Saccharomyces cerevisiae S288C: one gene and its partners. The protein of the gene in region 2 binds, or shares a complex with, the protein of the main gene of each other region. Each region holds a gene or a part of one and is shown on either strand. Other genes may lie near its edges. The genes, in order: KAE1, GON7 and PCC1.

What was found.
Region 1: GON7 (region 2) and KAE1 share a complex: the UniProt entries of both Saccharomyces cerevisiae proteins name them as parts of the EKC/KEOPS complex.
Region 3: GON7 (region 2) and PCC1 share a complex: the UniProt entries of both Saccharomyces cerevisiae proteins name them as parts of the EKC/KEOPS complex.

The regions. Positions count from the first base shown.
Region 1 is NC_001143.9:511,560-515,159, forward strand, and holds KAE1 (tRNA N6-adenosine threonylcarbamoyltransferase), read right to left. Parts: upstream 1,601-3,600; coding exon 440-1,600; downstream 1-439. Other genes in the region: SPC34 (Spc34p), read right to left, coding at 1-238; amino acid permease GAP1, read left to right, coding at 3,504-3,600. UniProt on the Saccharomyces cerevisiae protein: Component of the EKC/KEOPS complex that is required for the formation of a threonylcarbamoyl group on adenosine at position 37 (t(6)A37) in tRNAs that read codons beginning with adenine.
Region 2 is NC_001142.9:81,203-84,319, reverse strand, and holds GON7 (chromatin DNA-binding EKC/KEOPS complex subunit GON7), read right to left. Parts: upstream 873-3,117; coding exon 501-872; downstream 1-500. Other genes in the region: MNN11 (alpha-1,6-mannosyltransferase), read right to left, coding at 1-252; ATG36 (Atg36p), read left to right, coding at 1,344-2,225; alpha-1,2-mannosyltransferase MNN5, read right to left, coding at 2,405-3,117. UniProt on the Saccharomyces cerevisiae protein: Component of the EKC/KEOPS complex that is required for the formation of a threonylcarbamoyl group on adenosine at position 37 (t(6)A37) in tRNAs that read codons beginning with adenine.
Region 3 is NC_001143.9:624,033-626,872, forward strand, and holds PCC1 (chromatin DNA-binding EKC/KEOPS complex subunit PCC1), read left to right. Parts: upstream 1-1,831; coding exon 1,832-1,869; intron 1,870-1,944; coding exon 1,945-2,173; downstream 2,174-2,840. Other genes in the region: MLP1 (Mlp1p), read left to right, coding at 1-1,400; ESL2 (Esl2p), read left to right, coding at 2,761-2,840. UniProt on the Saccharomyces cerevisiae protein: Component of the EKC/KEOPS complex that is required for the formation of a threonylcarbamoyl group on adenosine at position 37 (t(6)A37) in tRNAs that read codons beginning with adenine.

The DNA of each region.
Region 1 (3,600 bases), on a different chromosome or scaffold from region 2:
CCTTGCCGTCTCTACGTGAAACGGATTGTTTCTCAGGGTTGACTTTGAACAGAAGATACGCCTCGTCGTGGTTACAGTCCTTTATTAGTCTAGTAATGTCTTTTCTAATGCTTGCCTTGTTGCTTGCTCCCTGTAGGATGGCATTATGAAAAATTCCTGGTGGCTTGAAATAGAGTGTGGACATAGAGTCCACCGCCCTATTAATATCATCTATACATCTATCCAAGCTTTCCCCCATTCTGTAATTGCCACGTCTTATTTTGTTAGGTGATGATCTAATTTTTTTGAGCTTTGTTTATTGATTATTTTCAAATGTCTCTTGCTTATTTTCGCGCTTCCACAAGGTTATACACTGAGCTGTAAATGTAAGGTGTATGGCATATATAAATATATATATATATTCGTAGTGTGAACATTAGGCTAACTGTAACAAAAATCGTTAATCACGCCAGGCTGCGTATACTTCATCGGTTCTGAATTTCTGCGTAACAACAGTTTCAGAAAAGTCCTTCACGATCCCACCCATTCTATACTCTAGTAGTCCTGCTTGGGCAATCATAACTCCGTTATCGATACAAAACCTATTATCTGTAGCATGTACTTGCCCATTGGCCCTGTCTTTACACATTTGCGCCATCATTTCTTGTAATCGCACGTTACAACCAACACCGCCTACGATCAAAACTTGATTGGAGTTAACGTGAGCCATAGCTCTTTCTGTTATTTCAACTAGCATGGCGAATAGGTTCTCTTGCAGAGAGTAGCAAAGATCCTCTACAGTGACTTTTTGCTCGCCCGTTGTCTTGTCGAATAGGATCTTATTTTTCTTATTGCCCTTAAATAGATCCTTGGCAAGTAAATCGATGGAAGCCAATATACCACTCATCGAAAGATCCATCCCCTTTACTGTATAGGGAAGTTCTACCAAGTTTTCTTTGTGAGGGGCTTTTTTAGCTAACTGCTCGATGTTGTAGCCAGGCGAGGGCTCATTAGGTATCTTCAGAGTTCTTGCAAATCTATCAAGACAATTACCGATAGCAATATCAAGCGTTTCACCAAAGATACGGTACCTTTTTTCCGAGTATGCAATAACTTGTGTATTTCCACCACTTACATACAGTACCACAGGATTTTGAGCTTTAGTGATTTCTCTCCCCATTTCGATGTGACCAATGCAGTGGTTTACTCCCACCAGTGGCACGTCCCACAGTAAGGAGCACGTTCTGGCGGCGATGACAACTGAATGCAGAGGGGCCCCCATGCCGGGACCTTTGGTAAAGCAAATTACATCAATGTCTAGTGTCGGGCTTTTGATGTCAGCTTCGGCCAGTGCTTGTTTTATGAGTCTTATGCACCAATTTCTGTGATGCCTTGCCGTGTCTCGAGGCAAAAATCCCTCCCCAGGAGGTGTGACATATGTGTCTCTAATATTAGAAAGCATCTCAGCTTCGCAATCATAAGATAGATCGCTGTTGGCATGTTTAGGCAGAAGCGGATGCTTAACTATACCAACGCCCAGTTTATTTGCAGAACCTTCAAGTCCAAGCGCAATGTAGTAGTCCCTGCCATTTTTGGGTGGGATAGTGTTCAAGTTGACCATTTTGCTCCCGACTGCATTAGGGAACGCTTGGGAATTCCCTTCACGTAAAAGATAAATATATGCATCGTTGCACGAAGTAAAAATGGTTACTCTCGAACTCATCATAATGAAAGAATTCAGTTTTTCCGTATAAAGCGATATTACAGGAGGAATAAAAAGCAAAATAAAAAATCTCCGCGACGGGGAATTGAACCCCGATCTGGCACGCGACAAGCGCCCATTCTGACCATTAAACTATCACGGAACGTTATTTGTTGGATTTTTTCTCTTAGTTTTAAATATTTATATTTCGTCGAATTGGTACCTCTACAGCTCAGAAGCAGATGTCTTCAAGTTTTTTTATTGTGTCTAAATAAGAATCAACCATTATCTTGACAAATGGGTGAATTTTAAGATAATTGTTGGGATGCCATTGATGATAAAGACTATAATATACATACACAGAATATACTAGAAATTGTACTCGAGCACATAGGAATCCTCAAAATGGAATCGATATTTCTACATAATAATACTACGATTATTTTCTGCTTTCGTTTTATATGTTTCATTATCCTATTATATTATCAATCCTTGCATTTCAGCTTTCATTAGATTGATGACTATTTTTCAACCTTATGTCCTCTTCTTACACCGCATATGATAGTATACTAGCAATATGAATATTACTAAACAGATGATATTTCAACATCATGTTTTGCTTAGTAGACTCTTGCGGGCGTTCCATCCGTGTGAAATACATCATTTACACCTCGCTCTGGGTCAAGTAATCAAAAAATACCTCGTCGAATATCTTCGACAAATCTGTCGCTTGGTTTATGTTTGACCTGATGTATATAAAATCATCACTACCCAATTTAGAGAACACATTGCGTTGCCCGGCCGGCAAAAAATCCTGGGCCAAAAGTTAAAAGAAACTTTCTCATACTCACTCTGAAGTTGTACTATTACGAAGCACTAAAGCATTGATAGATAAATCAACACAGAACATACATGATTAAATTAGACACAGCTCTCTGTATTTTTTACTGTTTGAACTAAGGTTCTAATACTTACACATTCTTTTCAACCCATCAGATGGTGTCTTGCCCCTGCTTACGTAACCTACAACAATAGATTAGACACACCAGTGCCAAGGACAATATGTTGCGTTCTGACTAGTCGAAGTATCATTACGCTGTGCAGATCGACCTGACACCAGACACAAAGGAGAATAGGGGCAGCATGAGTTCCGTCGGCGACTCATTCCGACCTTCCACAGGTCCGTTGATTACTTTTTCACTGATCCGGTGGAATCTATGGTTGTTTTTTTCATCATGATATCTGTTTTAGGACTTTTTTTTTCAGCCGATCGCTTATCTGCTCACTAGAATCGTAATCAGTGATATTTTTATTAATAATTATTATTTATTTTTTTTTATACCATTTCCTTTTGATAAGGGGTCGTTGGTGCCGTGCCGCTATCAGGCAGCCTCACTAATCTACCCATTGACCTCATGCAGCAAAGTCACATCGCCCATATCTCTCGAGTGCGATAACGGGGAACTTGATTTGGTAACTGATAAGATTGTTAAATGTCAGTTTGGATGCTTTTTCTTACGTCCGATTAGCTTATCTTCTGGAGCAACCGGCCATTTACCTCCTCATAGTAAATTAAACATGATAAGCGCATAGTTGGGGCAACACACCTTTCTTCCGGAATTCGCTCTGGATGAGACATATAAAGATGAAGGTGAAGTCCACTTAAATGAATGTCAATGAGACGATGTTTTTTCTCCTAGATTGATTTTTGAATTCCTTGTATACAAAGTCTTGTTTTCTTATTGTCCTCAACAAAACAAAAGTAGAAAAGAACAGACCAAGGACAGCAACATTTATAAGAAACAAAAAAAAGAAATAAAAAATGAGTAATACTTCTTCGTACGAGAAGAATAATCCAGATAATCTGAAACACAATGGTATTACCATAGATTCTGAGTTTCTAACTCAGGAGCCAATAA
Region 2 (3,117 bases):
AATCAACCGGCTGGAGGCAGGAATTTCGTTAATATACAGCCCATGGGATGGAGAATATGATGCACCGGCGGAACGAGAAATTGGATAGAAGCGATTGGAGAAGAAATAGAGGATAAAAACAAAGGCCGTTATTATCGACAAAAATTTACAAGTTCCGTACTTGTTCTGCTTGAAACCAAGCCTGTTGAACCACTGCGAACCCACCGATCTTGAGGAGTACGTTTTGCCCTTCGTTCTTGGTTTGATTGCCATTTTAACGAGTCCTAACACAGCTAACACCAACAACAAACCGGCAGGATGATTCCAAGTTGAAAATTGGCTTTCTTCGCATCATTTAGGAGTCGATCAATCCTTCTTAACTGTATCCCATCGTGTGTTTATTATTTTTTTATATCAACTCTTCCTAGTTCAACAATTATCACTTGTAACGAAATATTTGTCATTTATCATTAGACTCTTTTCTGTTTGTATATACACTCTCTAGCGCTACATATCGTTGCCTAAACAGCATCTTCGTCACCGTCACCACCATCTAATAGCTGGTTAATCTCTTCCTGGATCCGCTTCTCGTCTGCGCCGGCTTTCTTCTTATTTTTTGCCAATTCCATTCTTCCTGTCAAAAACTCGTTAATATCGTCCTGTAGCCCCGTCAGCTGCGTGCGCAGCTGGCCTAAGTATGTCAGTTGTGAGCCATCTTTCGTGCGTTCCGGTTCTGAAGGTTTGTCTCTATCGATTTGGCCAGCGTTTAGCACATGGTCACTGGGCCCAGTTGTCCTTCCCTCTGTGGTCATGTATCGAGGGTCATCGCGTATTGGTGCAAAACTTTTTTCCACACCATCTGGTGCACTGTACTGTGCTACCGGTAGTTTCATTGAGATATTAGGATAAGGTTCCAGTGCACTATCGGCTGTATATATTTATTTAGCTCTAACTTGGTTCAGTAAAACTACCAATAATCAGATGGGATATTCTTAAGTTACTCATTACTAGAGATCCGGGTAAAATTTTTGACCTGACAAGGCCGTAACACTGGAAACAGGAAGATCAACAAAGAAACTAAATAAACACCTATCGTAGTTGCTAATATAGAGCTTTAAAAAATCACGCTCTGTGGTGCTAAGACACTATTCTATTGTGCCATCACTAGAGCATTCGCGTTAAGATACTTTCACCAAGATAAACATCGTTATACACGTACGATCTACGTGCGGCTGTAGCGTAATCCCGAATAATACAAATCTTTTGAAGGGATAGATTTCTATATACTTACGAATGTCGACAAGGAGCAAAGGTTGTATTCAGGGCTTAAAATACTAAAATTTGGTGGTCAGTACAGCTCATTAATGGCATCTGTGAACAATTACCAGGTTGATTGCGGGTCAAGGTCTGCTCGCATTCAACCCAGAATTAATAACGGCATTCACGATGAAGAATCGCTATTTGAAGTCCTGGAACTCTCAGAAGAGGAATTTGAGCTAGACTTCCATAGATTAAAGTCATTCAATGATGTAAGGGTTATCAATAACCCAGATTTATCTCCAGAATGTACAAATACTGCCATTAGTCGCGATGAGACACTGGAATCTGCAAGTAGTGCCTTCGAAGTTCCTTCTGACGAAATTGCTATACTGTCGATATCCAGTGACAGCAATAAAAATTCTCCGCCCTCAGAGCAGCCGGCGCCCGCTCTTCGTAACATTCGATCGTCTAGTAACTCTGACCGGATCGATGAGTGGTGTTTGGGCAGCCATTTATTTAATGAGCTGCATCAAAATGTCCCTCAATCAAGCGACGGTGTCAATCATGGATTTCCCGTTTATTCCTTTAAGGAAAGAGAACTTTATACCTCTGCGAAATTAAAGAAACTTACAAATGCCCAAAGAATTGCTGTGCAGAAACTATCAAGAGACTTGTATCCAATTCTAAGAACATGCTACCGCGAGAAAACTCGCCGGCAATTATTGACATACCATCATGAAAGAATATTTGACGATATACCATCTTTTTTCCCCCAGCGTGACTTTATTTTCAATTACTACTCGATGCCTCTTGAATTCGACAGGTTGTCAGACGTAGATATAGATTCGTCATCGCGGTCACGATTTACAGATGAGAGCACTGGAGAAACATTAAACCGTTCACCAAGCGCAGCGTCTTCGTCGTTGGAAAACACATCTTGGTTTGGCTGGACTTTACTTTCTAGGTTTTTGGACAGAGAATGGTAGAAGAAAGTTAGATACCCTCATTCTAAAACGTTGTCCGAACACCATCAGTTAGTTTTTTCTTGGTTTCATTTTTTCATTTTTTTCTAAGATGTATATATATCCGTGCACATATATGCTACATTATATTATACAAGGTCGGATGGCGAGTTATTATTAAATTATTATAGTTAATCACTTCATTAGTTTTTCTCCCCCATAGCTTCTTTGTGTGTGCTCTCCAGATAATTAACATGATTGGTCAAATACTCACACATTGCATCCCATTCTGGGGTATTAACTTTATCGGTAAAATACTTGAATTTAATAACTTGGCTTTTCGGAGTGGTACAGAAGGACCCCCTCATATCATTGAATAAAAACAATTCAAAATCCATTCCATAGCGATGCGGCTTCCTGAAGCCCCGTACTTGTTCGCCATTTGGACCGATAAATCTGTTTTCATGATAAAGAGTCCATGGATCTGCCTTGTAGAAACTGGCATGAATGAACATGATATCCAAATCAGAACCGTCATCATTAACCATCAAAGTTTTCAAGAAACCATTGTCCAAAGTATAATCTGGATCCAGTTTGGAAAATTCCTCAATGTTGGCTTTAACTTTCTGCTGCGCCTTTTGGTATTGCTTGTAATCTTGTTCAAAATCATGCTGGAGCAAGGCGAGACCCTTGTAATCATCTTTTTGATAGAAGAAACCATCAAATTCAAAGTTAGTCCTCACTTGATAGTATGGCATATTCAAGGCATGGGCAGCAGCGACGAAAGTGTCTTTGTCACCTTCACCGGCAGTGCCTTGAGAAATCATCTTATAATACCAGGTAGGCCCATAAACATTATAGTATAGCGCCAGTAATAGAGTGTTGAAATGGCGAATCTTATCAATCACCATCTGGC
Region 3 (2,840 bases), on a different chromosome or scaffold from region 2:
AGTTAGAAGAAAGTACGACTTCTTACGAATCTACGATAAACGGCTTAAATGAAGAGATTACAACATTAAAAGAAGAAATTGAAAAACAAAGGCAAATCCAGCAACAGTTACAAGCTACATCTGCAAATGAACAAAATGACTTATCTAACATAGTTGAGTCTATGAAAAAGTCTTTTGAAGAAGATAAAATCAAATTCATCAAAGAAAAAACCCAAGAAGTTAATGAAAAAATACTCGAGGCCCAAGAAAGGCTAAATCAACCTTCCAATATCAATATGGAGGAGATTAAAAAAAAATGGGAATCTGAGCACGAACAGGAAGTATCTCAAAAGATTCGCGAAGCTGAGGAAGCCCTCAAAAAGCGAATCAGATTACCCACTGAGGAGAAAATTAATAAGATAATCGAACGAAAGAAGGAGGAATTGGAAAAAGAGTTTGAAGAAAAGGTTGAGGAGAGAATAAAATCAATGGAACAATCTGGAGAAATAGACGTGGTGCTTCGAAAACAGCTAGAAGCTAAGGTTCAAGAGAAACAAAAGGAATTGGAAAACGAGTATAACAAAAAATTACAAGAAGAACTCAAAGATGTACCACACTCAAGTCATATCTCAGATGATGAAAGGGACAAATTACGAGCAGAAATCGAAAGCAGGTTGAGGGAGGAGTTCAACAATGAACTGCAAGCCATAAAGAAGAAATCCTTCGACGAAGGAAAGCAACAAGCAATGATGAAAACTACCCTTTTGGAAAGAAAACTTGCCAAGATGGAATCTCAATTGTCAGAAACAAAACAAAGTGCCGAGAGTCCTCCGAAATCTGTTAACAATGTACAAAATCCATTACTAGGATTACCTAGGAAAATCGAAGAGAATTCAAATTCACCATTCAATCCGTTACTTTCCGGTGAAAAACTCTTAAAGCTAAATTCTAAGTCTTCATCAGGTGGATTTAACCCTTTTACCTCGCCATCCCCAAATAAGCACTTACAAAATGATAATGACAAAAGGGAGTCGTTGGCTAACAAGACAGATCCACCAACTCATTTGGAACCCAGCTTCAACATTCCCGCCTCAAGGGGTCTAATATCTTCATCTTCCACTTTGTCAACTGATACAAATGATGAAGAACTTACTAGCAACAATCCTGCCCAAAAGGATTCATCGAACAGAAATGTTCAATCGGAAGAGGATACAGAAAAAAAGAAAGAGGGAGAACCTGTTAAAAGAGGAGAGGCAATAGAAGAGCAGACGAAATCCAACAAGCGACCTATTGATGAGGTAGGAGAGCTGAAAAATGATGAAGACGACACTACAGAAAACATTAATGAGTCAAAAAAGATCAAGACTGAAGATGAGGAAGAAAAAGAAACCGATAAGGTGAATGACGAGAACAGTATATAAAGGAGATAGTAAAAACAAGGGATCAATACAAACTAAACCTTTTTCAATGTGGAGGAGCTTCATTCTGCCCTATGTCAAGACCATTTGTAATATACGTACAACAGCATTCTTGTTTCATAAAGTTTATATATGTATAAGCTAAGATGAAGTCACGTAAATAGCTCAAATGCCGATTTTTTAATACTCCAAACACAGAATCCTCTATATATGGAAATGGAATCATGAATCTTACGGTTTGTGTTTTGAATGTTCCAAACAGATTTTCTTAGTGTTCCGATCTCTGTTCCACCCACCAAACGAGAAAAAAGTAGGTCTTCGCGAAAACTCCAGCGACACCGCTGGTCCTTTAAGTTAAAATAATATGAATGGTGGAAGAACCCAGATCAACTTGACTGAAACAAGTCTGCCAACATAGACAGCTAAGAAAATTGATGACAAGCAAACGGGAAAAGTCACTGGATCACACATTGTAAGTAGAAGCAGTTTTTCAATGGGAAGACCGCACTGCATAGTTTACTAACTATTTAAACTTTCCAAACATTAGAGAACTAAAGATACCGTTTGAAACGGAGCGACAAGCGACCATAGCAACCAAAGTCCTATCTCCGGACCCGATTTTGAAGCCACAAGATTTTCAAGTAGACTACAGTTCCGAGAAAAATGTCATGCTAGTCCAGTTCAGAAGCATTGATGATAGGGTGCTTCGAGTGGGAGTTAGCAGTATCATAGACAGTATCAAAACCATTGTGGAAGCCATGGACGTTCTATCATAAATAATTAGAACACCGTATTAGTGTACATATAGTATAAGTATCTAGACGGCATTCATGCACATCATAACTTAAATATTTAAAATAGCATTAAGATAAAAAAATAAAGAGAGGTATAGTTGCTAAATGTCCTGGGGTTGCGTGTAAATAAACAATTGTTTGCTTTGAGTAAAGCAAGCATGTGGATGGTAGATGAGGCCTTATTTACTCCCATTAGCTGGGTAACGCAGAAAGTTTTAATATGAAAGGGTGACGGCGCTTGGCGTTTTTCTTGGATTGTAGAAGTCATGCTAGGCCCTTGGAGTAAGATAAGAGAGAACAAATAAAAGCTTTGGCAAATATCAACTCAGACGTCTTTTTTAAAGAGGATATAGAGCTTTGGTGTTGGCCTATTTCCCATCGCTGTTAAATTTCCGCTTTTTTGTTTTTTTTTTCCCTAAATTTGAGGAACAGCTGTTTATATTGATTTCCTTCTTTCCTGGTGCATATTGGTTGAATCATCAACGCTTAACGACTAACAAATTAGATCCAGAGTTACAGACGGGTGAGATTCATATATAGACCGAAGGAGTTTCACAATCCACTATATTATGCCAGAAACCTCTGTTCAGAATCCATTAAGGCTTTCTGAAAATGAAAATACTCGTTCGATGTTTCTGTCTGCATCACA